Linked DNA regions of Cricetulus griseus. Each later gene encodes a partner of the first gene's protein in a complex. Links are inferred from orthologs where the notes say so. Each region holds a gene or a part of one and is shown in the gene's direction. Other genes may lie near its edges. The genes, in order: Eif3j and Eif3f.

Evidence for each region.
Region 2: Eif3j (region 1) and Eif3f share a complex: the UniProt entries of both Homo sapiens proteins name them as parts of the eukaryotic translation initiation factor 3 (eIF-3) complex. The link is inferred for Cricetulus griseus from reciprocal best matches to the Homo sapiens genes EIF3J and EIF3F.

What each region holds. Positions count from the first base shown.
Region 1 is NC_048599.1:56,390,477-56,406,473, reverse strand, and holds the end of Eif3j (eukaryotic translation initiation factor 3 subunit J), read left to right. Parts: intron 1-4,055; coding exon 4,056-4,110; intron 4,111-4,451; coding exon 4,452-4,543; intron 4,544-9,752; coding exon 9,753-9,867; intron 9,868-12,726; coding exon 12,727-12,888; intron 12,889-13,941; coding exon 13,942-14,015; intron 14,016-14,267; coding exon 14,268-14,399; 3' UTR 14,400-15,343; downstream 15,344-15,997. UniProt on the Homo sapiens protein: Component of the eukaryotic translation initiation factor 3 (eIF-3) complex, which is required for several steps in the initiation of protein synthesis.
Region 2 is NC_048596.1:91,823,147-91,839,964, reverse strand, and holds Eif3f (eukaryotic translation initiation factor 3 subunit F), read left to right. Parts: upstream 1-7,621; 5' UTR 7,622-7,649; coding exon 7,650-8,028; intron 8,029-12,571; coding exon 12,572-12,642; intron 12,643-12,820; coding exon 12,821-12,900; intron 12,901-13,211; coding exon 13,212-13,349; intron 13,350-14,704; coding exon 14,705-14,796; intron 14,797-15,361; coding exon 15,362-15,498; intron 15,499-15,588; coding exon 15,589-15,702; intron 15,703-16,117; coding exon 16,118-16,195; 3' UTR 16,196-16,348; downstream 16,349-16,818. Other genes in the region: Nlrp10 (NACHT, LRR and PYD domains-containing protein 10), read right to left, coding at 9-279. UniProt on the Homo sapiens protein: Component of the eukaryotic translation initiation factor 3 (eIF-3) complex, which is required for several steps in the initiation of protein synthesis.

The sequences.
Region 1 (15,997 bases):
CTGAATGTTTTTGTTTTTTTTATAGTCCAGGCTGGCCTAGAACTCCACACATAGTAGAGGATGGCAGTGTACTGAGCCTCCTGTCTCCACTCTCCAACTGCTGGAATTCAGGCATGAGCCACCAGGATACCTGGATTAAAGGCATGTGCCACTAACGACTGGCAGGAGCCAAAATTTTAAAAATTCCTGTGGAAAGCTACTGAGCCTTCTTTAGTTGGGCTGTAGTGGTGATAGTTGAGGCTGTTTGCTCTCTTAAGAGAGTTAATATGATGGTTTATTAGTAATTTCAGGGCAGGTTTGTTGCTTGTATTTGAGGGTAATGGTAATAGACAGTGGCTTTCCTTTCATGGTCCTTTATGCATTGAGGCAGGTGTCATGACTCTGCCTAGAATTTATTTATAGGAACTGCCTCTTGCTACTAAAATACATTCTGTCCTGGCTTGGTGGCATATGCCACAAATCCTAGCATTCTAGAGGTGGGATGGAGGATTTTTAGGGAGCCTCCTGTTTGCATGGATAGGAGCTGGTTCTCTTTTGTTGTGGGGAACCAGAGAGTAATAGGGACAGGGTATATAGAATTGGTATTGAAGGTATCATCAGGGTGCTGCTTATTTTCAGTCATAGTTCTCTCTTGGCTTTGTAGTACCAAACCGAGACTTGGTGATCAGTATCTTTAAATTTCTAAACAAAATAAAACCTTATGTGCGCAACTTGAAGTTTGAAGGTGTTTAACTGATACAATTGTATATATCTGGACATATTTCATATATTAGTATGTACCTTAGCTCTGCTTTTTTAAAATGAGATTCTCTATGATCTAGGGAAGTTCATTCTAGAACTGATTGAAAGAACACATCTTAGTAAGAGGAACGTAGTTTGCAGTTACTTTATATTCCAAGTCTCAGAGGAAGTTACGTTCTGTGTCATTTTGTTCCATTCAGAGCAAATTCCTATATTGTTTCTTACTAGATCATTTGTTGGCTACATCTGAGCTACAGTTTTCTTCTGTAAAGTGGGATGGTGCTGCTTTACTTTTAGGAGTGTTACAAAGATTAATGTTACAACATGAAAAAGCTTGTAGCATAATTTTGAGTGGAAAGTCAGTGCTCATCAGTATGTGCTGTTAGTATTATTATCTTATTTTAAATCTGCATTCCCTGGAATACACATGTCCCTGCTGTCTGAAACACTGTTTAAGCAGCGTATTATAGACCACCCCAAAATGCCTGATAGTCAACTTTGTTTTGCTCTTTGGTTCCCCTTGTACTACAGTTTTGATATAAGAACTAAGGCAATAATATAGTAAGGTAATACAAACATTTGATTTTTAATTTGTAACTCTAGTATCTTCTTAGTTATCCAAATAATGACTAATTGATTTGTTTTCAGTCTGTTAAAACTCAAAACCATGGTTTAAATTGACAAGTGGTTGTAATAATATATTTACTAGGGGGCTGGCGAGCTGGGCTGCTCTTCCAGAGAACCTAGGTTAGATTTCTCAGCACCCACATGGTAGTTTACAACTGTAACTCCAGTTCCAGGGGATTCAAACTCTCTTCTGGTCTCTGGTACATAGACATACACAGACACAGGAAGTAGAATGTTGGGATTAAAATATACACACACATATAGACAAACATATTTACTTGTATATAAAATTATTCCTGTTCTGCTTGTTCAACACATTGCAGCTTCAATAAAGAGGACAGATTTTTAATTTCTTTGCTGGATGTACAAACTTGTCTTAATTGAGGTTTAGTGTATATATACCTGGATTGATTTAGATCTGTGATCTGTAATGCTATAAAGCTAGAAGCTTGTGTTTATGTCATAGTTGTGGTATATTAGTCAGCTTTTGCCTCTTCTACTAGCGTCAGGGCTTCCTGCTTTGCACCTTCCCTCTGATGGCTCATCTTCAAATGACATGTCACATTGTGTCTGGTGATTACTGAGACTGTGTTCTACCTATAGATTAAAGCCCCATTTAAATTTAAGGCTATCTCCATCCCTACTATATTGGAATCTTCTAAATTCTAGAGTCTTTAGAAAATTAGGTTTGTATGTAGCTCAGTGATAGATAGGCATAGAAAATCCAGGGTATAGGTCTAACTCAGAGGGTCTTGCCCGGCCTAAGGAGGCAGAGCCATAAAGGGTTAATTAGTTCTTTAGACTAATCTCTTAATACTGTGTCTAAAATATTGTGTAATTTGATTCATTGACTATAGTTATATTGTAAGCAATACTGCTAGAAACAAATGACCCATTGGCTAGACAGCAGAATACCTGGTTCATTTGGTAAATGAAACAACTGATAATCAATGGGTAGTACACACATGCCTGTAATCCAGAATGCAGTAAGGGAAGGCAACAGGATTGTGAGTTCAAGGCCATTTGAGGCTACATAGATAGACACTGTCAAACTAAAAATAAGATAGCAATTAGAAATTTGAGCTTGTTACCTTGTATTTTGATTGGTAAGCTTTTTATGGTGTTAGATAAGTGGATATAAAAGCTTATATGGAAAAACGTGATAGTAAACATTTAGAATCCTAAAAGGGTGAACAACATTAAACATACATACATTATTTTAAGTCTGCAGATACTAAACATACCATAAAGCTTTGGTAATGAAAGCAGTGTGGTACTAAGTGGGTGTTAGTTAAACCTATAACCAACCCCTACACTCAGGATTTGGAGCAGGGTCATATAGACTAGCTTAGTCTATATGGCAAGATCTGTGGTTCTTTACTGTAGGTGGATCAGGGATGTAAATATATGAAAAAAACAAAACAAAACAATGAAACCATATATATTCTAGAAGAAAACATGGTGAATTCTTTGAGATTGTCTGACTTAAATCCAGAGGTAGCAAAAGCCAGTGACTTGGAGATTTTATTGTATTTGAGGGACAGTTTCATTAAGAGAGGTGCCTATTTCTGTTCTGCTCACTAGTGTAAACAGAACTAGATTGAGCTAGTACGATTAGAAGAATTAGTAAAACTGGTATGGAGGACCTTCATGTCTTCGATGCCTTGGAGGCAGAGGCATGTAGATCTCTGTGTTGGAGGCCAGCATGGAATATGTAGTGAAACCCTGTCTCAAAAGTACACTCTGTTGTTTTCAGGCTATGTGGTATGGGTTGTATAGTATATCACTTATTCAGAAGCTTGGGGCCACAAGTATTTCCTTCCATTTAGGGACTTTTTTTCCTTCAGATTTTGAGGAGTATATGTGTACACATAATGGTATGGGACCCAAGTAAACATGAAATTTTTTTGTTTTAAATATACTTTACACACATAGCTGGAAGGTAATTTTACACACTATTTTAAGCATTTGTTCTATTTGACTAAAGATCTATCAATGGATCATATGTGGAATTTTATTATTTTTTGGTAGTACTGGGGATTGAATTTTATGCATACTAGGCAAGCATTTACCATATTCCCTAGCTTCCTATTGTTTTTACTTAATTTTGAAACAGGATTTCTTACTTTGTAGAGGCAGGCCTTAAACATTGATCTACCCTACCTCTCAGGTCGCTGGGATTACATTCAGATTTGTGGTCTAGGCCCAGTTGTAAGTGTGGAATATTCTTGTGGCAACATGTTGGTACTCAAAAATCTTTGGAATTTTGGAACATTGAAGATATTTGGATTAGAAAACTTTAAAGAATTGATGATGAACCTAACTTAAGTGTCCTCCCAAATTACTAATGTTCAAAGCCCAATAGCGTTTGCTATATACAAATACCTAATTATAAAGCATGATGAGGGCAAGGGAAACCTATAAAAGCAACAGAATTTAAAAATTTATAGGAATTTACAGAATACTAGGAACAACCACAAAATGAAACGTGTAAAACTTCTTACACTCCTGAGATACAAAAGTAGACTTAAAATGGGAAGATAACCCTAGACAAAGGGCCTTACTGTTATAAAGGCTATAATACCAAAAAGTACCAACAAGCTTGTTTGTGCATATTTAGGTTAACCATAGATATCACATAGGAAAGAAAACATGTAAGAATTACTAATGGAGGTTCTTGTCTTCAGGATAACTGGGATGATGATGATGATGAAAATAAAGAGGAAGCTGAAGTAAAACCAGGTGAGTCACTGATATTCATTCCTTCATTGTTTTAAACCAGATGCCCCTCTATACTTTTTCTTTAAGTACCTGCTGGTTTTCTGTTGGAGAAAAGTGTAGGTGTAGGAGATAGAAAGTAGAGGAAATGGTTATTTGAATGATCTTCCCTTGTCTATTTGCATCTCCCGGGGTGAGATTTGAAATGAAAAGGAAGAGTACTAAAACTTTATCATTTCCAGAATATGTGACTCTGAAAGCTAGGGAAGGTTTCGTCTCTTCAGGTGTTCAATCAAGCATCATGTCTGCCGTAGCCATAGACTAGAAAGTGTTCAATATAATCGTAAATAAAATATTTCTTTCAGAAGTAAAGATTTCAGAAAAGAAAAAAATAGCAGAAAAGATAAAAGAGAAAGAACGGCAGCAGAAGAAAAGGCAAGAAGAAATTAGAAAGAGGGTAAGTTCTATCACTTTCCTTAAAATGTATACAGAATTCATAATGTGTCGGTTGTGGTACAGTGTGTGCCGTCTCCCCCCCACCCCACCCCCGCAAAACAGGGTTTCTCTGTGGCTTTGGAGCCTGTCCTGGCACTCACTGTGGATACCAGACTGGCCTTGAACTCACAGAGGTCTGCCTGCCTCTGCCTATCTACCTATCGAGTGCTGGGATTAAAGGCATGTGCCACCAACGCCCAGCTGTGGTACAGTGTCTTAACTGGCTGCAAATATTACATAGCAATTTGAAGGGCTCTGTAAAGACAAAATGGATATACTGTAAGATAGGTGAATCCCAGAAAAAAAATTGATTTGTAGTTTGCGAACCCAGAAGTCTTATATCTGAAAATATTTTCAGTTTCATCATAACAGTTAGATTGGGCAGTGACCACCCTTAATGGTTTTTTTGTTTTTGTTTTTTTCTTTTCTTTCTTTCTTTTTTTTAAATTTTTTTATTTTTTTTATTATTTTTTTTTGCTAGAACCTGCAGTTTTGTTTTTTTTCTTTCAGTGCTGGGATTGAATTCAGGGCCTCATGCATGTAAGTGATCCCTCTACCACTGAGCTATATGCCTAGCCCACCTGTGGCTATTTCTAATCAGTTATACACAGTGAACACAGCAAACAAATGTTTGTCATGCCCTAAAGTGGTTTATTCTTGATTATTTTGTAGCAGGATCCAGCAATATTGCTGTATTTATTTTAATAGGAAACATTTTCATAATTCAAATATAAAAATTATTACAAAACACTCCTAACCCCTTAGTTACTTATTCTGTCTCCACTATCCCACATCTCATGTAAACACTTGTCCCTTATCTGTCCAAGATACTTTTTTTTTTTTTTTTTTTTTTTTTTTTTTTTTTTTTTTTTTGGTTTTTGAGATTGGATTTCTTTGTGTAACAGCTCTAGCTGTCCTAGAACTCACTTTGGTTGACGCCAACTCACAGAGATCCACCTACCCCTGCCTTCTGAATGCTGGGATTACAGGTGTGTGCCACTACTGCTTGGTTTGTCCAAGATATCTTTATATTTCTGTATGTATTATCCCTGCCTCTTTGTGATAGTCTTTAGCTGTATAACCTAGGGTGACCTAGAACTTGGTTTCCCATTGCCCCCACTTTTCAAATGCTGAGATTACAGACATCACTAACTGGCTGTCCTTTTTTGTGTAGTTTCCACTTTTATTTACTGTAGAGATCTTTTCCATACACAGTGTGGAAAAAACTCTAATATTTTTCCTCACTTTTTTTCCTTTTTGTTTTTTTGAGCATTCTCTCCCCTCCCTCCCTCTCTCTCTCTCTCTCCCCTCTCCCCCCACTCCCCCTGGGTTTCTCTGTCTTGCTTTGGAGCCTGTCCTGGAACTTGCTCTGTAGACCAACTGCCTCTGCCTCCCGAGTGCTAGGATTAAAGATGTATGCCACCAATGCCCGGAGAGCATGCTTTCTCTATGTAGACTTTTCTGTCCTGGAAGTCACTCTGTAGACCAGGTTGGCCTCTGCTTTCTGAGTGCAGGGATTAAAGGCATGGGCTATCATTCCCTGGCCTTCTTTACTTTTTGTTAAGAAAAATCCTCAAATATGAAAGTAGGAAAATAATCAGGCATGGTGTTGCACTCCTGAAATCCCAGTACTCTGGAAGTCTGAATTACATTTGTAATTTGTAATAGCTTGGCTTGTATTGTAAGGCCTGGGCTCATAAAGCCAGATCTGGTGGTATTCATACTTATAATCCTGGCACTTAGGAGACAGAAGGAGGAGGATTTCGAAAAGTTGGATGCTAGCCTGGTCTACATAGCAGTTCTAGGCGAACCAGGGTTACATTGAGTGTGAGACTGTTTCAAAAACAAGTAATACATATCACTTAATACTGTTAATGTGTTGCCAGATTTCATTTATTTTTGCTTTGCTTAATATAACTAATATACATTTTACCTTTAAACCCTGAGAAGGGATTTTTTTTTTCATGATTGCATAAATACCTGATATTTAGAAACAGGTATATATGTGTGTATTTATACATGTATAAATACATACATACATAAGGTTGTTTTACTGCTGTAAGAAAGAGATGTAGCATGAGATTATTGGTAGAGTGCTTACCTATGTGGGAGGTGCTATGGTTCAGTCAGTCCCCAGTATTGCTCTTTTGCGGGAGGGGATTACAGGGGAGACCATGTCTGTGTGTAGCCTTCGCTGTTCTGGGACTTGCTCTGTAACTCAGGCTGCCTGAAGTGCTGGTAGTAAAGGTGTGTGCCACTATGCCCGACTCTGCCAAAAAATTTTAATAATTTTACTTTGTTTTTGTTTTGTTTTTTTGAGACCGGGTTTCTCAGTAGCTATGAAGTCAGTCCTGGAATTCACTCTGTAGACCAGGCTGGCCTCAAAGTCATTCGCTTGCCTCTGCCTCCCAAGTGCTGGGACTAAAGGTGTGTGCTACCACCACCGCCTGTGTAATTCTTCCTTTTTGAATAAACTGGTAAGGTTTTTGTAATTTGTGTTTTACTCAAATACAGTAGTTTATTTGAGAATTATATACTTGCATACATTTAATATTTATGTGTTTAAATCAAACCCCTAGTTCCTCCCTTCCCTTCTTTCCCATTACTCTCCCTCCCAACTTCATAAGCTGTTTTTAACAACTCAGAGTCTACTTAGTGCTGCCAGTATATAGATGGGTATAGGACCATCTACAAAACCCTGTGTTCAATCCTTAGCACTTCATCAAACAATGTGTGGCACATGCCTATAACCCCATTGCTTGGGAGATGGAAGCAGGGGATAAGGAGTTCAAGTCATCCTAAGTTACATACTGAGTTTGAGGCAAGTCCTAGGGAGTTGGGGAAGCTGTCTGTCTGTGTGTTTGTTCACAGCACCCTCCACTACCATATATGGTACACACATACATGAATGAACAACTATATGAAGATAAAAACTTTGAAGTTTCAAGCAGGGTATAGTTCTGCATGCCTATAATTCCAATGGGAGGGTTGAGTTTGAGGATAGCCTGGGGGTACAGATAGAGAGCAAACAAATAAATTTATAATGGGTGTGCATGGTGGTATATACCTGTAATCCCATCCACCCCTTACTACATGGGACTATCTCAAAAAAAATGTATAAAACTAAAAAACTCAAAAAAAAATAAATATTATAAAGTTTAAAGCTGTTAAGTGGAGTTGAGGATTTGTTTTATTTTGTTTTTCAAGACAGGGTTTCTCAGTGTAGCCTTGGCCATACTGGAACTAGTTCTTTTCAATTTGGACTATATCCTAACTTTTTTTTTTTTTCTATTTTTTTTTAAGTTTTATTTATTATGTATACAGTGTTCTGTCTGCATGTGCCCCTGCAGGCCAGAAGAGGGCACCAGATCTCATAATGGATGGTTGTGAGCCATCATGTGGTTGCTGGGAATTGAACTCAGGACCTCTGGAAGAGCAGTCAGTGCTCTTAACCTCTGAGCCATCTCTCCAGCCCCCTATCCTAACTTTTTGAGACAAGGTCTTATTATATAGCTTTGGTTGGCTTGGAATATATGATGTAGACAAGGCTGGCCTCTAACTCAGAATAACACCTGTCTATGCTGGGATTAAAGGTGTGTACCACCTTGTCAGGATTATTTCAGACTACCCCTACCTTATTTTTTTAAAAAAGATTTTAAAGAATATATCCTACTTAGTGTATGTTATGTAATCAAGTGGAAGGTTCTAATGTTATTATTTCCCTTGTGTTATTTTACCTACAGTTTTGTTTTGTTTGTTTGTTTGTTTGTTTGTTTTTCCGAGACAGGGTTTCTCTGTGTAGCTTTGGAGCCTGTCCTGGCATTCACTGTGGATACCAGGCTGGGCTTGAACTCCCAAGTGCTGGGATTAAAGGCATGCAACACCACCACCTGGCTTTTTGTTTTTAACCTCTTTACATTTCCTCTCCATGAACAGGCAGGAACATATGTGAGGATTCAAAGGTGCTTCACTTTTCCCCAGTAACTAATTCAAGTAACATACCTCTGTAGAAAATTATATCACAAGGTGTAGAAAAGAAACTAGACTGCTGTCTACCCTTTCAGAGGGCTTTACATTACTGGGGTGTCACTTGATTATTTTGGTTACATTTGTAATTCTACAATAAAATAGAACTTTTTTTCTGATGCTCTGAAAACACTTTTAATGTCTACATTGTCAGATGAGCAGTGCTACACTTTAACCATTCTATAGTTGAACATTTAGGATGTTACTAAATTTACTTGCAATTATAAATAATATTCTAATGAATATCTTTGTGTTCATCTTAGGTTTCACCCCCTCCTCCCATTTTATGTGTCTGTGAGTTTTGCCTTGCATGCATTTGAGTGCCTGGTGACCTCCGAGGCCAGAAGAGGGCTTGGGTCCCCTTAAACTGGAGTTATAAATGGTTATGAGCCCCCATGTGGGTCCTGGGGAGAACACAAGGTCCTCTGGAAGAACAGCCAGTGGTAATCTTTACCATTGAGCCATCTCAATGCCTCCTCTATTTAAAAAGAAGAGATTTTTTTTGAGTGTTTTCCCTGCATGTATATTTGTACTGTATTCACATGGTAACTTTGGAGGCCAGAAGAGGGCCTTTTATCCTGGAACTAAATTCCTGAGTCAACATGGGGGTGCTGGGATTTGAATCTCAGTCCTGTGGAAGGGTAGTTAGTGTTCTCTTTAGCCATCACGTCAGGTTTCTTTCTTTTTTTTTTTTTGTTTTTTTGTTTTTGTTTTGTTTTGATTTTTGGTTTTTTGAGACAGGGTTTCTCTGTAGCTTTGGGGCCTGTCCTGGAACTAGCTCTTGTAGACCAGGCTGGTCTCGAACTCACAGAGATCCGTGTACCTCTGCTTCCCAAGTGCTGAGATTAAAGGCGTGCACCACCATCGCCCGGCATGATCTACTCATTTTTATCAATAGATGGAGAAATAAATAGCCTCTACCTCCTTGGGTTCACCCTGTTAGATGTTACTTCGTATTACTGTGTGCAAGTTTTATTTAATTATCTGTATAAATGAAATATGAATAGCTAGCCTTTAAAGTGTTTAGAAGAATGCTAAAATACAGTAATCATTTTTATGTGCTTACTTGTTAAAGTGCTGACATAAAATTCATACAATACAAAAATACTGTGTCCACTATAAGTGAAACTTGTGTTTTATTTTAGTTAGAAGAGCCTGAAGAACCTAAAGTGCTAACACCTGAAGAGCAATTAGCAGATAAACTCCGTTTAAAGAAGCTACAGGAAGAATCAGACCTTGAATTAGCAAAAGAAACTTTTGGTAAGATGGTGGGTGCAATGTTGCTATTCCAGGTGAAAAATTCTTCCAGTCTTACTACTTTGTAGAAGATCAAAAACCATGTTTTTAAATGACACATACAGCGTTAAGCTCTTGTTTATATATTTGAGATTACTTGACAAAGTATTGGCATGCTTTCAGATGTTTTGAGTAATTTTTAGAGTATTTAAGATTATAAAACACCGTTTTTAACACATTCCTATAATCCTAACACTTGGAAGGTCTTAGCCTTAGTGGTAGCTAGCTAAGGCTATATAGCAAGACTGCCTCAAGACATCAGTAGACCCGGTAAAGTGTACTGTTGCCTAAACTAGTGAACTGGATAGATTCTGGTGTCTACAGCTTTTTAACTAAAATAGTGGACTGTCTTTGGGGACATCCTGTTCCCCTAAGTCTAAATAGGACTTGGGCAGAACATGTTAGTCCATGTAGAATATTCAGTTTTGGCTTTGCCTTGTGTTCGGAGTTGTTTCTTTTTCTTGGCCTTTATAGTACACCATCTTTCAGGGCCATCAGTTATCTTAACAGCTTAGGAAGTCAGGGCAGGAAGTAAAGCAAAAGCCATGGAGGATTGCTGCTTACTGGCCTGCTCTCAGTAAGTCTGCTTTCTTACAGTTCCCAGGATCACCTGCTCAGGAGTGGCACTGCCCACATCTAGCTGGGCTGTCCCACATAAATCAGAAATCAAGAAAATGGGCCATAGGCCAATCTGGTGGGGTCATTTTCTTTTCTTGGTTGAGGTTTCCACTAAACAAAGGACTTTAGTTTGTGTCGTGTTGATTTAAAAACTAGCCAGCTACCTAAGGAAGAGTTAAAAGACATAGTAGAGAAATCCAGAATACTTCATTTGTCAAATTTGTCATTACCCTGTGAAAAAATTCACCCAAGGCCTTCTCTAGAACACAAGAGACTTGCTTGTTCCCCTTTAGGAAAGTCTGACCATACTCTTCAGTGGGTCTCTAGCAATTTCAGCTGTGAATGTGGGTGTTCCTCTATTCATGGCAGCCCATGTGTGTTCAGAATAGAAAATCTCATGGGATACCAGTTACAAATTAAGAAGTGAAAAATGAAATAACACAGTCATTGTTTGGTTAGTAGGAATTTACTGTTTCTTGCACTTACAATGCTGAATCTGTAGTTTTGCTAGGTCATTTATTGACCTTGAAAAAGGTATATACATAATCATACTTTTCGCCTAGAATTCTTTTAGGCTAGATTTATTTTCTCTCGGTGTTTTTTTTTTTTTTTTTTTTTTTTTTCTTCTTCGAGACAGGGTTTCTCCGTGTAGCTTTGGAGCCTATACTGGCACTCGCTCTGGAGACCAGGCTGGCCTCGAACTCACAGAGATCCACCTGCCTCTGCCTCCCGAGTGCTGGGATTAAAGGCGTGCGCCACCACGTTTTTTTTAACACATGGTTACTTCTGTTTAATTTTTGGGGTTAGCTGGTTATTTTTATTGTATCCATCTTTTTTGTTATCCTTACCCATCTTTGCCCAAGGATGCCTTGGAAGCCAGAGGACAACTTGTGGAGTTGCTTCTCTCCTGCCATGGGAGTTCAGGGGATTGAATATAGGTGGTCACGCTTGGTGACAAATATCTTTACCTACTGAGCCTTCTCCCACTCTATCTCTTTTGTTTTTCTTGGACAGATCTTTTGAGAGCATCCTTTTTTGGACAGCTAGTAAATTCTGTGGGTCCTTTTTTAGTATGGCTTTTGTTTTTGAGACAGGGTCTCTGTGTAGCTCTGGCTGGTCTGGAACTCACTCTGTAGGCCAGGTTGGCTTAGAACTCACAGAGAAGCTTGCATCTACTTCTGAATGCTGGGATTAAAGGTGTTTTCTAACACTTTATTTTTAACAAAGGAAACCTGTTCAATTGAAACAGGAATCAAATCACAAAACAAATCCATGATAAAAGTAAAGATTTTTAGTTTCTAGTGCAGGGGATTGAACTCAGGTCTTCATACATGTTAGGCAAACACTACCTGAGCTACATTCCCAGCCCATATATAGTTTTATTAATTTGGTTGTTGGTTGTTTTGTTTCTTTTTTGAGATGGGTTTTTGCCAGGCTGGCCTTGAATTCTCCATCCTCCCAAGCTGGGAGTATGAATGTTCATAACTACTCAACTTCATGTGTTTTGTTTTGTCTTTTCAAGATAGGGTTTCTCTGTGTAACAGCTCTGGCTGTCCTGGAACTCATAGAGATCCACCTGCCTCTGCCTCCCCAGTGCTGGGATCACAGGCATGCGCCATCAACGCCAGGCCGCCAGGTGCTTTTTAATAGTAGTGCTTGACAGTACTGATCAGACAGTGGTGGGGATATCTGCTCCAGCTGCAGTGTACTCCGAAGGGTTTTTTTTAAATGTTTTTGCCTAAAATTAAAATAGGCGAAAATGCTGAATTGGAGGCTAGTAAAATTCAAGATAGATTTTTTTCTTTTCTTGTTAAAAAGCTCAGTAGTTTGTAAAGTTTCCTAGCGATGGAATGGTGGCTCAGTGGGTATTAAGCCTGATAACCTGAGTTTGATACCCCAGGGCACATATTGATGGAAGGAGTGAAAGTTTATCCTCTGATTTACACATGCAGGTCATGGTGGCATGTGCACACACAATATGACAGTTTGTTTAAAGTCCTGCTTTAGAATAAAACTGATTTTGATAGCAACTTGGTTAATGAACTTTAAGGTTTTTGTTACAGAGAGGGTTGTGTTGAAGTCAGAAGACAGTTTTGTTGTGTAATCATCTTTACATGGGTAAAGCTCTTCTTACCCAGAGAGCCATTCTAGCCCCTATTGATGAAAATGATTGTCTTCTAATGCTTCAGCTCTTTTCTCCTGCAGGTGTTAATAATACAGGTTATGGAATAGATGCTATGAACCCATCTTCAAGAGATGACTTCACAGAATTTGGAAAATTACTAAAAGATAAAATTACGCAATATGAAAAATCACTATATTATGCCAGTTTTTTGGAAGCCTTAGTTCGAGATGTCTGTATTTCATGTAAGTGATGCTGATTTCTGCCCCCTTTGTTAAGACTATATTCTTAACATACTTGGGAAACTTTTTTTGTTGTTACTGTTTGTTTTGTTTTTCTATAGCTTTAATGCTATAATACAGACTTGGGATTTCCTTTTTTAGCAAATATCTCCAGTTTGAATATTTGGGGATGGCTACTTTCATTGTTTTATATAGTAGCTTCTCACAGAGATAGCAGTCTTATGCCATACAAAACAGGTCACAACACTAGGTAACCCTTTTATCCAATAATCTCCTAAAGGCCTACACAGTATCTTTAGAGGGAATGCATTAGGGGCTTCTCAGGTTTAGAGCTCAGTAAGACCCTCAGAAATTGATTTTACAAATGGAGTCTGAGATACTGTCTAAATTGCCCGACAGAACTGGCTCCCTTATGCTAGGATGCTACACCAATGTGATTATTACTCATAGGCGGATTTTATAGGAACTGTTTTTTCCTGTGTTTCTTTTGTGGAGGAGCTATCTAACCAAACCCCAACATTTTCTGTATATAAGAACTGATTTTTTTCCAGCCCCCCCCCCCCAATTAAGTAAAGGATATGTTGTCCGCTAAGTGATGTGGTTCTTGGGCTAGAAAACACAGCGGGGCAGAGGCTTATCATATGTGTTTACTTATCATTGCATGTTCAATGTAGCTGCTACTCAATGATTGTAGAGGCTGTGGTTAGTCTCCCTCCTGTTTAGACTGAGGAAAGATGGGAGAGGTAAAGCAAATGCTAATGAGTTCATAAATAATTGTTTTTTAAGACAGGGTTTCACTATGTTGTATGGAGGGCCTTGACTGTACTAGAGCTCTCTGTAGATCAATCAGGCTGGCCTTGCACTCACAGAGATGTGCCAGTTTGAGTGCTCAGTTTTTATAGCCATTGTGTTTACCATTGTACTTTAGTGAGCTATCACTGAGCCCAGCCATAGAAAGAAGAAATTCGTAGTTGTAGTAATGACATTTTATAATATAAGAATATCTATTTTGATTTTAAAATGAAGTTTAAAAGTATGTCTGTTTCTTTTTTAAAGTGGAAATTGATGACTTGAAAAAGATTACCAATTCATTGACTGTGCTTTGCAGTGAAAAACAGAAGCAAGAAAAGGTAAGGGCAAGCTGTACAGAGAAATGACTTGTGCTAAGTTGGGGCTGTGGGCAGAATTCCCTCAACACAGTAAAGAACCCATTGAAATTTTAAGTTAGAACAGAACAGCAGAGTGGTGCCTGTTGGTCTCCATTCACAGACATACAATAAAAATTGTTGTAGCTTTTAGCATCTCTTTGAGTACATACTGTGACAGATGAAATACCCATAGCAGATAAAGGTTCATGAATTTAACTCTTCCTTCATTTTTAGCAAAACAAAGCCAAAAAGAAGAAGAAAGGTGTGGTTCCTGGAGGGGGATTAAAGGCCACCATGAAAGACGATCTGGCTGATTATGGTGGATATGATGGAGGATATGTACAAGACTATGAAGACTTCATGTGACCTTTTATCTTCTCCTGGTGTCTTCTTTATGTTGCCCACAATCCCTTCAACATGTAGCACAACTTCCTTTCCTTTCAGTTCTGCCAAATGCTACAATCAGAAGTGCAGTATCTTTTGTGCTGGTTATTTAACCCCTTGACACTCAGGTGCTAATGAGCAAATGAGGGAACTTGGATCTTGTTGCCAAGGGGTTAAAATTGGGAACCTCAGTTGCTACAAAATCATAGTTTAAAAACAAAACAAACCTAATAATGTTGTCATTGTTGCTATTTGATTCCATAGCAGCAGTCACTAAATTGGAAACAAAGGTTGCAACATGACAAAAAAAAATTGTGTAGTATTTACCAGCACCATTCAGTAATACAGCCTTAACCATACCTCCTTGAACTACTTCATAACTTGTCAAGAAAAGCAGTTTGCAGCAAGCAAGGGCATGTGGGATGCACCTAGTATTAAAATTGCTTTGTCTTAAAATTGAGCTGAGGATATTAAAAACATGTTGTGAAGAAGACTGCTTATCTCAGAGTGAAGATACTGTGGCTGAAAAATACTAGTTTGATACTTAAGATTTTAATGACCAAAACCCTTCAACTTTGAAGCTGAAGAAGGTAAACCTCTCCGTTATTACAGTGCAAGTGGTGGATGATCCAGTGCATTGACTGTCTAGTTATTTATCAGCTATTTCTACTGATGGAGGACTTCAGATGGGGGAGGGAACTGTTTCTATTTTGCCTGATTCAGGTGTCTGAGAAACAAATCTTGTTCTTCTAGGCTGCAATGGAAAAACTTAACAGGGTTTTGGCATTTCCTTTTCTTTATAAAACATGCTCAGCAAACTGCACCAGTTAACTACAGTTTGGTAAATTGTTATGTTAACAATTATGACATCTGCAATGTTTTATAAAGCAACTAATTTAATAAAATAACTATTGTGAGGACTTAAATTTTGTGTTACCTCCCAAGAGATAATTGAGAGTACAGGATGCAGCTCTTGGGTGGAGTTCTCTGTGTACTCAATCAGTGCCTGATGTAGTTACAGCTGAGGCAAGTGTTTGGGGTCTTTAGTAGTTTAGCTGTAGAGCAACAGAAGCTGTCTTCCTCCTGTTCATTTGGGAAATTATTTTGTTGTTTAGATGCTAAGGCCCAATTAAGTACCTAGAACTATTTATTTGGAGTATTGACACCTACTACTCATGTTATTGCTGTAAGCATAAATCGGGTGATCATTTTAAGTAATGTAACAAAATTTGTGGTTAGGTTTTTGTTTGTTTGGTTTTTTGTTTTGTTTTTTTCTTTTGGTCCCCAAAATTGTCACAGCCAGGACAAAAAAATGCTTTATAGTTTCTCTTCCATAGGCAATAGGAACCTCAAAGCTCTGTAGACCACTAAGTGGAAAACAGGACCATATAAATGACTTGAATTAATAGAAGGCCGTGACTACATAGCAATAACTACAGTAAATACTGTTGAAAGCAGACAAGGGCTAAGATCTACTTAGCAGTAATAATGACAGACACTGAATTAAAACCTATTTTATTATAGAAAGATCAGTTTCTAACTCATGAAAATGTATCCCCTGTTCCTTAACTGTGTAAATA
Region 2 (16,818 bases), on another chromosome or scaffold:
GCACTCACCATGCAGACAAACCTGGCTGAGGTAGTTGACAAGCTCCATCAAGTTCATGGCCTGCAAGCTCCTGCTCACCACTCTCACGGCTTCAGGTGCTCCGTACATTGAAATCAGTTTTGATGCTAGGTCAACCCGACTCAGACCCTCCAGTTCCCCTCGGGCCAGATGAAACTGGGTCATGTCCCGTAAGTGGAACTTCAGCATCTTGAAACTGTTCTCCTCAAGGTCCTTCAAGGCCCAGAGCAATGCCTCCTGGGGACTGTTGGCTCGTGCCATGGTGGTCAGAGGTCAGCCAGCCTCCTGGAAGTGAGAAGTAGTGAGACAGTGCTGAGTGGAGAGCAGCTGGAGACTCCTCACCCACCCTGCCCTCTGGGGGCTTGGCAGTCTGAGAAGCAGAGGTCCAGGGGAGACCAGATATGTGCAGAGCTCTGAGGAAGGCAAGTGGGTGAGACAGCAGGGGACATTGTCTAAACATCCCTGCTCTATCAGATAGCATGTGTGACTGTGGGAGTAACTAGAAACTTCCTCCCCCTCTCCCTCTGTCCCTCTCTCCCTCCCTTCCTCCCTCCCTCCCTTCTTTCCTTCTTGTAGATATGTTTTTGTGCATGTGTGACAGGGTCTCATGTTTCCCAGGCCAACCGCAAACTCTTCTTGTGGCTGAGAATGACCTTAAACTTCTGATCCTCCTACCTCTACCTTTTGAGTGCTGTGATTACTGCCAAGTAGAACTACACCTGGATTTGTGGGATGAAGGGAATTGAACCTAGGGGTTCCTGTGTGTTAGGTAAGCACTCTACCAACTAAGCAATATCCCCAGATGCCCATCAGCACTCTTAAACTCGACTCAACTTAGCATTAAGAAAAAAATGTTTGAGTATTTTTAATTTCAAAAGTGAGCCTGCCCTTGATTGTGATTGATCCCAGAACTTGTGCATTATCTGCTGGGACAGGGAGAAAGGAAATCTCCATCCTCAGTCCACTGCTTCCCACACCAGCATCATGAGCTCAGACTCTCATGGGGTCCAAAACTGGTCTCCAGGTAAGGAGTCAAGATGAGGCTAAGAAGGGAACAGACACTTTTAGTGATAAAGTTGGGCCTAATGACTTCTTGATCTTAGCATCTACTAAAGGGAAGGAGAATAGCAGTGGCTAGTAGGAAGCTTTCAGAATCCAAGAGATAATTGTTATCCAAAGTTGTGAGGGTCCACTGTGGAAGTATGATGTCTGGAAGTGCTCAAAAAAGTCATTGTAATGGACTTGGTAAGACTCAAATATCAGTATTTTGACTGAATATCAAAGAAAGGAATAAACCTCTCAGAAACATGTCAGGACACAGGGATACTGGGGATTCCCTATGAAGCTGATTCTGGGAAGCTAATTCCAGAAGGACAAGAAGACAACAGCAGAGCACTGGACCAGTCAAGCTCAGGCTTGAGGAGCTGGAGGTGGGAGGATGACTCAGCTCCCTGGCAAGAGAACAAAAAGCTAGCTGTCCAGAAGAGATGCAACAGGTCCATTTTCAGCTTTGCAGGCCAACCCTGGATCCTCTTATCCAAAACCCACCAGTTAATTATTATCCGGTGGGGTAAGAATTCAAAGTAAAGGTGTGAATTCTCAGACACATAGGCCTGATGCGGAGGAGGGCTGGAACCATGAAGGACCTCAGTGAGAAGCAGAGATACCCATACATCAGATATGTTAGTTGGCATGAGCAATTGTTCACCAGATGAAAACTTGACCCCTTGGGAGTCAGAGGCAAGTGAATCTCTGAATTCTAGGCCAGCCTGGTCTACACAGTGAGTTCCAGGACAGTCAGGACAACACTGAGAAAACCTGCCTCAAAAAAAAAAAAAAAAATTGACCTCATTTTTCAGACCCATTAAACTTGGTAAACAAGGGAGGGACCAAAGGCATGAACTATTGTATTGCCAAAGGAAAGACAAAACAGAAGATGTTCCACACCCATCCCTGAAACCACTGGTCCTCTTTACAACTTGACCCTGGTCCAGACCCGGGCAGTGTGACAAAGGAAGTGGAGCATTGTCATTGTCACTGTACCATTTCTTCAAACTGGTGAAGCCACTACAGGTTATGCTCTGACAAAAAAGGGGGGGGGGCAAGCAGGAGTTCTGTGAAATAGAGATACAAACACGTTTCTAAATGTGCCTAAAAGGCAGCTGGTCAGCTAGCCTAGAGAGCAGGGACTCCACTAAATCTCTGTAAATTTGGAGCAGTTTCTCCAAAAAGATTGCCTTCAAGATGAAAAGAACAACGGATTGGTAATTCAACTGATGCCTTTGTCTTTCTGAAAAAGCTAATGAGAGACAGCCAAAAGTGCAGACAATCAACAGTAAATTACCAGAAAACTAGAAATGAAAGTAAAATAAATATTTTAGGAGCAACAAAAGATTAAGACATAAAACATAGTAAACTAAAACACTCAGGTGAATAATATTTGCATACAAATAATAGCATAACCACTTAATAACTAAGATTTATAATATAACCACAATGAAAGGATGGTGGCAGAGAGGCTGGTAAGATGACTCCCTGACTGGGAGCTCTGGCTGCTCCTCCAGAGAACCTGGATTCAATTCCTGGCACTACATGGCAGCTCACAGCCATCTATAACTCCAGTCCCAGGGAATCCAATATCCTTTTCTGGCCTCTGAGGGCATCAGGCATGCACATGGTGCAAAGACATACATTCAGGCAAAACACCCATACACAGGAAATATTTTTTTAATTAGAAAGGATGGTAATGGAATGATTAGGATAAAAGGTCAATGCCTAAGCCTTGAGTCAAAAAGCAGTTGTATTGTGCATACTGTACTGTTTAGAAGTACAAAGATGCAATGGGGCTAGAGAGATGGTTCGGTGTATTAGAGCACTGTCTGTGTAAGCATGGCACCTGAATAGCAAGCATGAGGACTTGATTCATATTCTGCCACCCACATAAGATCAGTGAGGGTGGGTGCATGAGAATGGCTGAGGTGTATTGCCCCCAGTCTAGCTCCAAGCTCAGTGAAAGTCCCTGTCTCAAAGGAACACGGTAGAGAGAGAGTTATAGAACAGGATACCTGACATCCTCTGGCCTGTGCGTACACAAAGGACACACTCCCACACGTATACACATACAACAAATGCACAATAATTTGTATGTGTGTGTGTGTGTGTGTGTGTGTGTGTGTGTGTACACGCGCGCGTGCGTGTGCGTGTGCATGCATATGTACAAAGACATAAGAAAGTTAAAAATCTAAAGTAGTTGCCTTGGGCAAAAGGGCTGGTGATGGTGAGATGAAGACTGTTTGAGGACACAGACTATGTAATGGGTGGAATTTCTGATACATGCACATGCATCACTGAGCTAAAACAATAGGGAAAAGACAGGTGGCCAAGAAGTAGAGGGATTGTGTGTAGAGAAGTCTCAGGAAACTTGGCTGCAAAAGGACTCTGCAAAGTGATGGGGACGTACTAGACCAAGAGAAGGTCTTTGTCTTCACATGGAAGGGGGCATTTTTAAATGCCAGCAACAAGCATCCAAAGGAGGTATCAGGCTAGTAATCTCAAACTGGGGAGGGGTGAGAACAAGGACTGGATTAGGACCCAAGCCTCTCAATGAGAAAGGCTGTGGGAAGGAGAAGCAGCTGCATGGGTTTCATGGTCAGAAGGTGAGAGTGAGCCTGTCTGACAAAGCTATGTTCTATATGATGTACGGCTAACAGGATCTCCAAAGAGCTTGAAGGCAGTGGTGGTAGGAGGGGTGGGGAACCAGGAGGTGAACACTGCCAGCCCTCTCACCTGTTCACCTTTTTCTCTTCTCCAAGCCCCAAGTCACAGCGCTCGGTCAGTACTCCCTGGAGTTCAGGGGAAACAGCAGGAATGGGAATTGATTTGCCCAAAGCCTTAGCCAAGATCAGGCTAGAAACAGAAACCACAGCACCAGAGATTAAGACCAAGATGAGAAAATAAAAGAACAAGATATGACCGTCTAGATAGGATGACAAAGAGCAGAGGCCACTTACTGCACCAACGCCAGGTCTAAGTCACTGGGCCAGATTCATAGCAACACCTTAGTATTTATAGAAACAGGAACCGAGTTTAATTGGAAGGGTGGAGGCAACAGATGAAATCATGTTAACTCTGTCCTGGCTAGAGGCAGAGATGACAACTAGAGAAACTGGGTCCCCAAAAGAAAGAAAATTAAAATGGGGGAAGCAGGACCAAGGATAGAAAGATAGAAACAAAGATAGAAAAAGTGAGAGAGAACAGATAAAGGGAGACATAAGACACATAAACTGAGCAGAAAAAAATGGGGTAGAGAGACAAGAGCAGGGATCTGGCTAGAATACACACACACACACACACACACACACACACACACACACACACACACACACTCACACACATATATTTTTCCTTTCAATACCTGAAATGGGATGGGCTAGATAAAGAGACTATAGACCCACTTTCATATGACTCCCTGGTAGAGATAATCTGGTGTTGTGTTGTGTTGTGTTTCATTTTGTTTTTTCAGACATTGAAGGGACCAGCTCCCCATTTCGGCAGCCATAACAGCTGAACATGTGCTTGCCTTAGTCACTAGGAGGTCAGATGCCTGTCCCCTTTTGGCAGCCATGACAGTAACACATGCTTGCACTGACCTTGCCTTGGTCACTAGGAGGTCAGATGCCTGCCTCATGGCAAGGAACCAATCAGAAGATAGCTGGTGGTGCTATGCTTTATGGCTCTGGGTACAAGTGCACAGCAATGACACACAGAGCATAGCAAACACCCTGGGAGGGCCTATGGGCCATAACCACCAGTTGACCAATCAACACAGGGCAGGCCCTCCAAGCCTGGAGGCACAACAATCCTGAGCCTGTGCATACCCCTAGACACTTCCCTTACACTGCCCTATAAGATCTCTATGCAGTGGCTTCCTGCCATCTTTCCTAGCCATCCACCATGGTGGATGGACGGGAGGCCCAAGCTAACATGGGGTTAGCTCGTTAAACAACTACAATAAAGCCTCATGCTGTTTGCATTAAGCTTTCGCCTCCGCGTGGTGATTGGAGTGGCTGCGGTGCTGGGCTGAGATCCTGGGGGCCTGAGTCTCCGGGGGTCTTACAACATGACTACTCAAACATACTCCCCAGGACAACTAGCAAGTGGCATGCAGTGGTTAATTTTGTGTGACCCAAGCTTTGGTCAACATATCACTGAGAGTTTCTGTGATCCTGTACTTAAGATATAACTGTCAATTGAGTCCGTAACTGAAGAAAGCCAACTGTGCTCCCTAATGTGGGTGCCCTCATCCCATCAGATGAAGCCTGAACAAAAGAAAAGGCCTGGCCATCTCATGAATAAGAAGAGTCTCCTCGGACATGAGAGAGCAGGAAGGTTGAGAAGGAGGAAGAATAGAGGAGAGCAAGAAAAGAGATACCATAGTAGAGGGAGACATTGTAGGTTTAAAGAGAAATCAGGCACTAGGGAAATGTCTGGAGAGCTACAAAGATGACACCAACTAACAATCTAAGCAACAGAGGAGAGGATACCTTAAATGCCTTCCCCTGATAATGAGATTGATGACTGACTTATATGCCATCCTATAGCCTTCATCCAGCAGCTGGTAGAAGTAGAAGCAGACACCATAGCTAAACACTGAACTGAACTGGAATCCAGTTACAGAGAAGGAGTGATGAGCAAAGGGGTCCAGACCAGACTGGTGAAACCCACAGAAACAGCTGACCTGAACAATGTGGAGCTCTTGGTCCCCAGAGTAATAGCTGGGAAACCAGCATGGGACTGATCCAGACCCCATGAACGTGGGTGTCAGTGAGGAGACCTTGGAAATCCATGGGGTCTCCTGTAGTGGATCAGTACTTATCCTTAGCATAGGTGTGGACTTTGGGAGCCCATTCCACATAGAGGGATATTCCCTGAGCCAAGACACACGGGGGTGGGCCTAGGCCCTATCCCAAAGGATATGACAGACTCTGAAGACCCCCCTATGAAAGGCCTCACCCTCCCTGGGGAGCAGAAAGGGTATGTGATAGGTAGGGTTTTAGTTGGGAGGGGTAGGGGAGGAGGGGAGGAAGAGGGAACTGGGATTGACATGTAAAACAATCTTGTTTCTAATTCAAATTAAAAAACAGGAATAAAAAGAAGAGTTTCCTCTTACTGTGTATATAGACCACAGTTTCCCTCACTGTGCATCCTAGAATTTTTCTTAAAGATTTATTTATTTATTATGTATACGGTGTTCTGCCTGCAGGCCAGAAGAGGGCCCCAGATTTCATTATAAATGGTTGTGAGCCACCATGTGTTTGCTGGGAATTGAACTCAGGACCTCTGGAAGAATAGCCAGTGCTCTTAACTTCTGAGGTATCTCTCCAGCCCCTAGAAATATATATATGCAGAAAGAAGATTGGGTGAGGAAAAAGACAAACAGGAAGAATAATTGGGGGGAGGAGTAAAGGGAGGGAATAGGTGGAAGTAAATACTGTCCAAGTATGAAGAATTTATGCCAATAAGAAAAGACCTTAAAGGGGCTGGAGAGATGGCTCAGTGGGTAAGAACACATGTCGTGCAAGCATAAGGACCTCAGGTAGAATCCCCAGCACCCACATAAAAAGCCAGGTGTGGTAACACTGGAGCCTGTAACCCCAGCATTGTGGGCAGTGAAACAGAAGGATCACTAGGGCTTGCTAGGGTTACCAGCCTAGCTCCAGGTTCAGTGAGGGATGAGGTCTCAAGGGAATAGTGATAGAGTGATAGAGCAGGACATCCAATGCCTGGCCGTCATATGCACTCATGAGTATACACACACACACACACACACACACACACACACACACACACACACCCTGACTTCAAAAATAAGCAAAGGAAGGAAATAAAGAGGGAGGGTCGGAGGGATGGAGGGAGAGGAGAGAAGGAAAGAAAAAGGAAAGAGAGAGAGAGAGAGAGAGGGAGGGAGGGAAGGTGGCAGGGAGGGAGGGAGGGAGGAGGGAAGGGGGAGAGGAAGGAGGAGGCAGGGAGGGAGGAGGGGGGAGGGAGAGAGGCCCTTTAAAAGCCCCTTTGACATTTAATATCCAATTTAAGTCTAAAAAAAGAATTGCGGGGGGCGGGGGGGGGCGGCTGGAGAGATGGCTTGGAGCACTGACTGCTCTTCCAGAGGTCCTGAGTTCAATTCCCAGCAACCACATGGTGGCTCACAACCATCTGTAATGAGATCTAGTGCCCTCTTCTGGCATGCAGCCATATATGGAGGCAGAATGTTGTATACATAATAAATAAATCTTTAAAAAAAAAAAAAAATGCGACCTTTACACTATTCTGTGCCGCCATCTGGTGGCAACTGAGTAGATTGCTATTTGTTTCTCTCTGCCCACCCCCACCCCACCCCACCCCACCCTCAGGCGGTCCCAGAGTCACTAGGAACTACTTTGGCCTGCTCCTCACTGAGTGCGCATGGACGGCCATTAAAACGCACACGGCTCACTAAAACTTACAACCAGCCGGAAATGTTAGTGCCCAATAGTCAGCAAGAGCTGATTCACGTGGTACAAATTCAACCAACCAAGTTCCTAATACTTCCTAACTCACGCCCTTCCGTTCTAGGTTCCCTCTTTCTCGGCAACATGGCATCCCCGGCCGTACCGGCAAGTGTCCCTCCCGCCGCTGTGACCGCGGCCCCGGCGCCGGCCACCAACGCAGCCCCGGCTTCAGCCCCGGCAGCGCCCACGCCAGCTCCGGCGCCGGCTGCGACTCCCGCTGCGGCCCCGGCGCCCGCCTCGTCCTCCGACCCTGCGGCAGCTACGCCTGCCGCTGCGGGCCAGACCCCGGCCTCTGCCCCAGCCCCTGCGCAGACGCCGGCACCCTCGCAGCCCGGGCCCGCCCTGCCGGGGCCTTTCCCCGGCGGCCGCGTGGTCAGGCTGCACCCGGTCATTTTGGCTTCCATCGTAGACAGCTACGAGAGACGCAACGAGGGAGCTGCCCGGGTTATCGGAACCCTGCTGGGTGAGTGCTGGAGAAATGAGTGTTTTCTTCTCGTCATCTCCCTCCTGTTTTCACTATTTCCTCTCGCTACATCACCACTGAAGTCTTAACCTGTTGCTCTTTTGCATCTTCTCGATGTGGCTTGCCTTCCCAAGTGTCTTGAATCCTGCCGAATCGCTGTTGAGCGACAGAAATGTCCAAAGAGTAGGTATGAGCTATTGAGTAGTTTGTGGTAGTTGATCTACATGTTATTTTATACTCCTACCAGCGAAGTACGGAGAGTGCATGTTCCCAAAAAATGAGTTCAAAAGCCAGCAAGAAGTGCAAAGCTCTTGACTCTTGTAAGCACAGTATCCACATTTACCCTCATATCCACTGACTAACCAACACACAAACACGTACCCACCACCCTTGTAAGGGAAGAGGATATGTCAAAGCTTCCCCCAATTGAACAAGTAAACCAGGTTTGTTCAGAACCTATTCCGGATATTTAATACTTTCTTTTAATCCCGAACTTTTAAGACAGATGCTCAGTGGCAAGAACCTCTTTGATACTAGTTTCTTGTGGAATGAAACCTGTATATGCTCGGGTTCAAGTATCTACCCCACTTCACTCTTACTTTTCCATTTGCATGCAAGCAATGGTATTACCTGTTTACAAGCAACCTTAAAATGAAGAGTAATCTTTCCTTTGCCTGTGTTACAGATAGTTTATGTTAAGGTGGTTTGTAAAACTGAAAGGCACTGAAGATTGTTGAATACATTTCTGTCTCTGGGGACTGCTGGTCCTGTCAGACTTGCTTGCACTCTGCCTTAGTGACAGCTTTTAAACACTGGCCTTCCACACCATTTCTTACTGGTGATCTTGGAGCAGTTTTCGTACCATGGAAGACCATTCGAGTGCTGCAAAGAGAACAGGATATATAGTCAGACTTCAGCAATTATTAGCTGTCTTGGGACAAATCACCAAAGATCTAGTTCTTTTGGGGACTTTAGCAGACAGTTTTTGTGTGAATGAAATTATTACAGAAAGCAGCTAATGGCTGACACACCTCAGGTACAGCAGCTCTCAGTCACCATATACTAGATATGAAAACCATACCACCCCACCATAAATTTCTTAGGCAGTATAGCACTTTACAAAGACTTAGGAGTTGCTACATTGTTGTTCATCAAAACACACTGGCATTTTCTCCTCCACAAGTCTCTTCCCTGCTCTCCACCATTTTATTTCAGTTCTACAACTGTAATCCTAACTTCCCTCTATTTTTAACCTCTCAGTGTGTTAACATTCTGTAACTGCCCTACTGTGAACTTCTATAACAAACAAAAAATGTTTGTATCAGTGACTTGCCACTTAACAAATACTTGGGGTATACTATCTAATTTCCAGTCTCTGGAGCTGTTTAACTAGAGGAATAAATGTCTATCAAGGTTTATGTTTCACCCCATATATCATAGGAAGGCAGCTGTAATCTGTGGATTCTCTTGTCAGACTGGATCCTGCTCAGTGCTCCCACTGCTACAGAACAGTTGAGTTGTTGATGGAAAAACAAATGAAGCAATGTGTGCTTGGTAGGAACTTGGACTTTTCTTAGGTTGACAGTAATTTGTAAAAGATTTTTGCCTGGCTAAATGAAATCATTAGTGATTTTCATGTACCATAAAACCATTAGGTACTTCGAATTCAAAATTAGTCAAAGGAACACTGTTGTAACCTTAAACTCAAGATGGAAACAGAGTCCCTGAAACGGAGATGTGATGACTGTTCTGCTAGCAGGGTGTCCTATGGAAACACAGAGGCGTAACTATTTGAAAAGGTTATGGAGGAGTCCCAGAAAAGCTGTGGAAGGCCCTGTTAAGGTGTAACACATCTTCCATGTGAAATGAGCCCTTAGGTGGACAGTGTCCACGTGTGCTTCCCAAAGGATTCGGACCTGAGTTTCTAATTTTATGTTTCACTGTAAGACCTGATTTCTAAATTGTTTTCAGTGAATATACCTATAAGTTATAGTTCTTTGTAAGCACTGCTAAACTCAGCGTCCTTTATCCTTTAAACAGAACTTCAGCTACTCAGATTATAGAGCATAAAGTTATGTTCTAAATACCATAATTTTGACATTTCTGAGCCTACTTGGGAATACTAACCTTTTATCCCTGAATCTCAAAAAGATAACGTGCCAGGAATTTGAAAACTGAAAAACTTGTTTTCAGTTTATGTAATAGTTCTAAAATGTACCACTGTTGAGAAATTTTAAATTTAAAAATGAAACAAAATTTTAAAGAGAAAGCTCTGGGCAAGTCCCAGCTTATGAGAGGGCGGCAGGAGGAGAAGCCCTCTGTGGTTCTGGACACCTGCCTCTGGGGCAGGAGTCACAGAGTTGAGACAGCGGAAGTCTCGTCTTCCCAGGAGGCTCTTGAGCTCTTTCCAAAGCTGGGAGACCAGAGCACTGGCTGCTTTGTACAGATTAGTAGACCTGAGCTGGGCCTGGATGACAGCTGGAGGGCATTCTAGTAAAGTAAAAGCATTTGAGAAGTGGGAGCACAGAGAAAGGGGAGAATTGAAAGACAGGAAGTAGTGGCATAGTCAGAAGCTCAGCATTAGAGGTGATTTCTAGATCTTCAATTGAAAGGAAATATGGAGTTTGACTTGGGCTTATTATCTATTCCTTCTGAGATGCCATTGAGTGTGGCAGTGGATTTGTCAGGTTAGAGAAATTGAGTGAGAAAGACTGCTGAGGTGGACCACAAGCCTGACCTGTGAATTCCTGGAACCCACATGGTAGAAGGAGAAAATGCTCCTGTAAATTGTGCTCTGACTTCCACAGGCAAGCAGTTGCATGTGCACACCCACAATCAATCAATGTAAAAGAAAGGCAGAATTTGACAATAAATGAAGAGACTGTAAAGAGATGTGGGCGAGTATGTCTCAGCCATTAGGCAATAAGAAGTAACTGAAATCATAAAGGTGGATGAAATCACATACCACAGGGATTGGCAGCTGTGTTTAAAAAAACAATAACAACAACAAAAACTCAGCCTTTGTAGCAAAAAAAAAAAAAATCCATAAGTAATGCATAAAAGATTGGGCAACTAAAGCCCGGTTGGTGCGCACGCCTTTAATCCCAGCCCTCAGGAGGCAAAGGCAGGCGGATCTCTGTGAGTTCGAGACCAGCCTGGTCTACAAGAACAAGAGCTAGTTCCAGGACAGCCTCCAAAGCCACAGAGAAACCCTGTCTTGGAAAAAAAAAAAAAATGGACAACTAAACATTTATTAGCTGAAATCTTTCTGGGTCAGGACTTGACCTAGAAAAGGAACATGGAGCAAAAACTAGGAACACTAAGAATGCCAAAAACCTGAAGTGTCAGAGGAGGAGCCAGCAAATTAGGAAGAGAAGGGAGAAAACTAGAAAAGACTAGTGTCATGGATACCCTAGGAAAAAGGGGCTCTGAAGTGGAGGAAGCAGTCATGAGGGTCAGATGTCTGAGTGGTCAGATGAGAGAATGTATACCCATGGATTTAAGAACATAGTTCAGAAAATGAAACCATAACAACCAGATCTCTAGCAGGGGCATGTTATAATAGGGCCTGAGGGAGCTTGGGGGAAGGTACCACTATGTTAGAAGAGAATGAAGTTGGGACCTATGGCTCAGTGAGATCCAGGAACTAATGAGAGTGAGGATATCGGAACACAAGTTTGTGGTAGACTGATGGTGATATCCATTCACATGTGGAGATGATAGATAAGCTGGTCTAAAGGGTAATGCTCTAAAACTGTTTACAGTGGCACCAGTCTGTCCTCAGTGATCTGTCAGGTAAACATACAAAGAGAAACTCAAGAGCAGCAGGACCCCTTTGGAGGTTGAACAACGCTTTCACAGGGGTCACCAGAGGCCATCAGAAAACAGATGCTTACATTACAATTCATAACAGTAGCAAAATTACAGTTGTGAAGTAACAGTGAAAATAATTTTATGGTTGGGGGTCACCACAACATGAGGGTCTCGGCATTAGGAAAGTTGAGAACCACTGCTCTAGAGAATGAAGAGTGAGTGTAATGGGATGGGCTGGTAGTGGAAAATAACAGGCAAGAGAGACCTTCTTTGTAAAGGAAGACTTAACCCTGTTTGGTGATAAAAGAAAGAGCTGGGGCTTTGAGTTCTCTAGAAAATACTGGTTCTGTTGATGCTGAACTTGGGGCTAATATTAATATGTTGGCTTCATGTTTGTTGACTTTGAGGAGACCTTGAAAAGCATTTCAGAGTAGGAGTTGGAGATACCACTCAGTTGATAGAGCACTGTGCACAAAGCACTGATTTCAGTCCCCAGCACCACATCAACCAGGTGTGATGGTGCACACCGTAATCCTGGCACTTGGGTGATGGAGACATGAGGCTCAGGAGTTCTTGCTCATCTGTAGTTACAGAGGACTCTGACTCCAAAAACAAATAAATAAGGAAGGAAGGAAGGAAGGAAGGAAGGAAGGAAAGAAAAGGAAGGGAAACCGTTGTGGGCTGTGGAATCCCAGAATTATTTAACCTCCTGCCATTCTCTTTTTACCAGGAACTGTTGACAAACACTCAGTGGAAGTCACCAACTGTTTTTCAGTGCCACACAATGAGTCAGAAGATGAAGTGAGTTGGCTTCTCTCAAGGCCCCTCTGTACTGTGTCTGTAACAGCGCTGCAGGCAAAGCACTGCTTGCCCTGCCCACATCCTGGGCTTCTTCATCTGATGGGGGTGGTCTTTCTTACGATTCAGTTTTAGTGTGTACTTCTAGCTTCTCAACTTCCTCTTCTGCATTCTCTCTTAGGTGGCTGTTGACATGGAATTTGCTAAGAATATGTATGAATTACACAAAAAAGTCTCCCCAAATGAGCTCATCCTAGGCTGGTAAGTTGAGGCGGGTGGATGGATAGAAAGTCTTCGTTGAGGGCCAGCCAGCCTCATTTGTCATCAGACTAGATCTTATTTCACCTTTCAGAGATAGAGTATTCAAAGCATGTGACCTTGAGCCTATTTTGATGGTAATTCTGATCATATTAAGTCAATAATATTTATTTTCAGGAATAGCTTTTGTTATTAGTTTGCTGACATTGTTAATTACTGCTGAGATAGTATCAGGGCCCCAGAGATACCCACACCACTGTTGTATTTGGGATTGGCATCAGGTGTTGAGAACCTATAACTGCTCTGCTTTCCAGGTATGCAACAGGCCATGACATCACAGAACATTCGGTGCTCATCCATGAATACTACAGCCGGGAAGCCCCAAACCCCATTCACCTCACTGTGGACACAGGTCTCCAGAATGGGCGCATGAGCATCAAGGCTTATGTCAGGTGAGTCCTGAGTGACCCGTTATGCCTGGATAACATCTCACGCCTACCCTACTCAGGTCTAATTCTATAGCTCAATGTCTCTTCAGGAACTTCATTCCTCTTTTGACAGCTGTCATTAGAGAAGTTTCTGAAGCAAAGTCTAACCCCATAATTGACACTCACTGGTCCTACTTAAACTGCAGTACTTGCTACTTAACGTCCATTCCATATGTGCCTTGGGTGCATGAACAAACTACCATGTTTTGTATGTGTCATCTTTCTGGGACAGTCCCCACATGGTTTGTTTGTCACAAGGACATGTGACCTTGCTCATTGCTTTTCTGAATTACGTTTAGTTTTTTATTGTCTTAGTTTGCTTTCTGTTGCTGTGATAAAACACTGACCAAAAACAACTCGGGAAGGAAAGGGCTTATTTCACCCTACTGGTGACAGTCTGTCATTGAGGGAAGTCAGGTCAGGCAGCTGAAGCAGAGCCAAAGTGATGCTGCCTACTTCCTTGTTCCCCCGGCTTGTGCACGCTGCTTGCACAAGTGGTCCTATCACCCAGGACCACCACCTCCCACATCAATCATCCCTCAAGAAAATGCCCCACAGACTTCCCTACAGGCCAGCCTAGTGAAAACACTGAGCTGCTTCTTTCCATAGACCATAAAACCTAACCAGCACATTCAGTGTTACTAGAACTTAGCACAGTATTCATAAACCAAAGGATGCTGGCATTATTTGGAACACATCTTTTAAGTTGGAATTAAATAGACTTTTGGACGATAACATTGCAGTGTTGGCTCAGAACTTGCCTGCAGCTACAATGCCATTTGTCAGGGCTTGCTGGGGAGGGCTTTAGCAGTGGAGAAAGGAAGAGTTATTACTACAACTTGAGCCTATGGATAGGCACTGAGCCCAGCCTTCACCCCCTTCTCAGTCTCTACAAATTCAGCCTCCTCAAAATCCATATGAAAATCCAGAGTTGAAATAGTAAACAGCAATTTTAGTGAAGTTACTCTTAGCGCCCTATTGAGTGGTTTGGGGCATGAGTCAGTTTGGTCTTTTAGTGATAATGAGAGGCTCAGGCCCAGAAAAAGATTGCTCTGGTATATCTGTTTGCCCTGAAGATGGGTGTCTAGACAGCCAGGAACATCAGAGTCCTGTCCTCGTTACTGGCATTATGGTGTATGAAGCCATCCTACAAGGGGTCAGGCCAAAGAGAAGAAGGAAAATTTACTCTCAAGGTATTTTGGGAGCAGTCCTGGCCTTCTCACGTGGAAGGTATTACCATTGTGACTGCTTTTCTAACATAGGCTAGAAGTGGAAACTGCTCCCAGGGCATCTATTTACCTTTTCTCCTCCATCCCCAGCACTTTAATGGGTGTCCCTGGGAGGACGATGGGAGTGATGTTCACACCTCTCACAGTGAAGTATGCGTATTATGACACTGAACGCATTGGAGGTGAGTTTCCTTCCCCCACTCCACACACCTAGAGACCCCAGGCTTATTCAAGGGAGGGAGCCATTTCTCTTTGACAAAGATGAAGGGAGGGCTTGGGTAGCTTAAAGAACACTGGTCCAGCCGGGCGTTGGTGGTGCACGCCTTTAATCCCAGCACTCGGGAGACAGAGGCAGGTGGATTCCTGTGAGTTCGAGGCCAGCCTGGTCTCCAGAGTGCCAAGATAGGCTCCAAAGCTACACAGAGAAACCCTGTCTCAAAAAAAAAAAAACCACTGGTCCAAAGTTCATGCTAACTGGAAGATGTGAGGGTTGTTCAGGGTAGGAAATTGTCAGTGTCACAGGCCCTGTAATCTCTATACAAGGCCAGAACCAGTAGTTACCAAACCAGGTGGAGAAACTGAGCTCTCCAAAGAAAGAAAAGTTAGTGTGTAGAGAGCAAGGATATTGGGAGCTGACTGCTTCCCAGGGGGGTTGGGGAGAGTTAGTAAGTGGTTAATGACCTCTTTCCTCTTGTTATGACCAAGTTTTCTCTGTTGTCTCTCACTGCCTGCCCCACATTCCCACAGTTGACCTCATCATGAAGACATGTTTTAGCCCCAACCGGGTGATTGGACTCTCCAGTGACCTACAGCAAGTGGGCGGAGCCTCTGCTCGAATCCAGGATGCTCTAAGCACTGTATTGCAGTATGCTGAGGATGTGCTGGTGAGAAATGGGGAGGAACAGCAAGGGAGGGCTGGCATCCCTGTGGAGCCTGCTGGTGACTTGACAGTACCTAACAATGGACCTTCTCAGTCTGGAAAGGTGTCTGCTGACAACACTGTAGGCCGCTTCTTGATGAGCCTGGTTAATCAAGTACCCAAGATAGTTCCTGATGACTTTGAAACTATGCTCAACAGCAACATCAATGTGAGTGCCATGGCTGGACCCTGGGAGTTGGGTAGATGGAAGGCCACTACACAGTCCAGGGTGGAGGCAGTACAGTATGTTTAGGGGGTCTCCTCCCCTAAGTGCTTGTTTGAAGTACTACTGCTATTACTGTGACTTCTTAACTAGACTCAGGTAGGAGACTTGCTAAAATTCAAGGTAACAAAGACAATTTCTAATTTTACACATCTGTGTTCGCAGAGCACACACCCCCATACTCCACAAGTCTCCACTAAATTCCCCTATTCTATAAGCATCAGTAGGGTGGATAGTGTTCATGCACGGTCCCTGCCTGACTTCCCCCCTTCAACCCCTGCTCAGTCTGCTCCACTGACATTCAGGACTCAGCACAGGCCTTTCTGTCCCCATTGCATTCATTGTTTTCCTTTTCTTTCAGGACCTGCTGATGGTGACCTACCTGGCCAATCTCACCCAGTCACAGATTGCCCTCAATGAGAAACTTGTGAACCTGTGAATGAGCCCTAAGAGGCACTTGTGCTGGTCTTGGTTTTCACCATAGGACTCAGACTGAAGTGGAGGCAAAGGGTTTCTTTGTGGTCTTGAATCACGATCACTTGGTCAACTGCTTGGGACTCCTAATAAACATAGCCTTCCTTTTATAAGTGAACTTTATGTGATGTCATGTTATTGTTGCCTGGGAGAGAAAAGTGTTCTTGAGCTCATACAGAAGCCAAGGAGTGAGCATCCTAGGGAGAAGCTGGTTATGCATTGGCATGAGTCATCAGCAGTAGGAGCACCCACAGCCCAGGCTATGTTAGCTTCACCCAGCACCACACCAGACAGCCTTCTGGGCACAGTGGCTTTACATTTTTCTGACTCTTAGGATCATAGCAAGTGGAATCTCCAGAATTGTTTGTAGATTTTTGGTTGGGGGGGCGGCAGGTGTTATTTCTCAGTTTTTTTCCTCCATAGCATCTTACCTGGATGGTAGTCCAGGGGTTGACTTGTATACAGTATGGAAGGATTTGGAGATGGGCACACACCGCAGACCTGGGACCCAGGAGTTCGTCTCCATGGTGAGGAATATCTGCTTTACCAAACTATTCAGTCTGGAAAGGTGGCCTCATACAGACACAG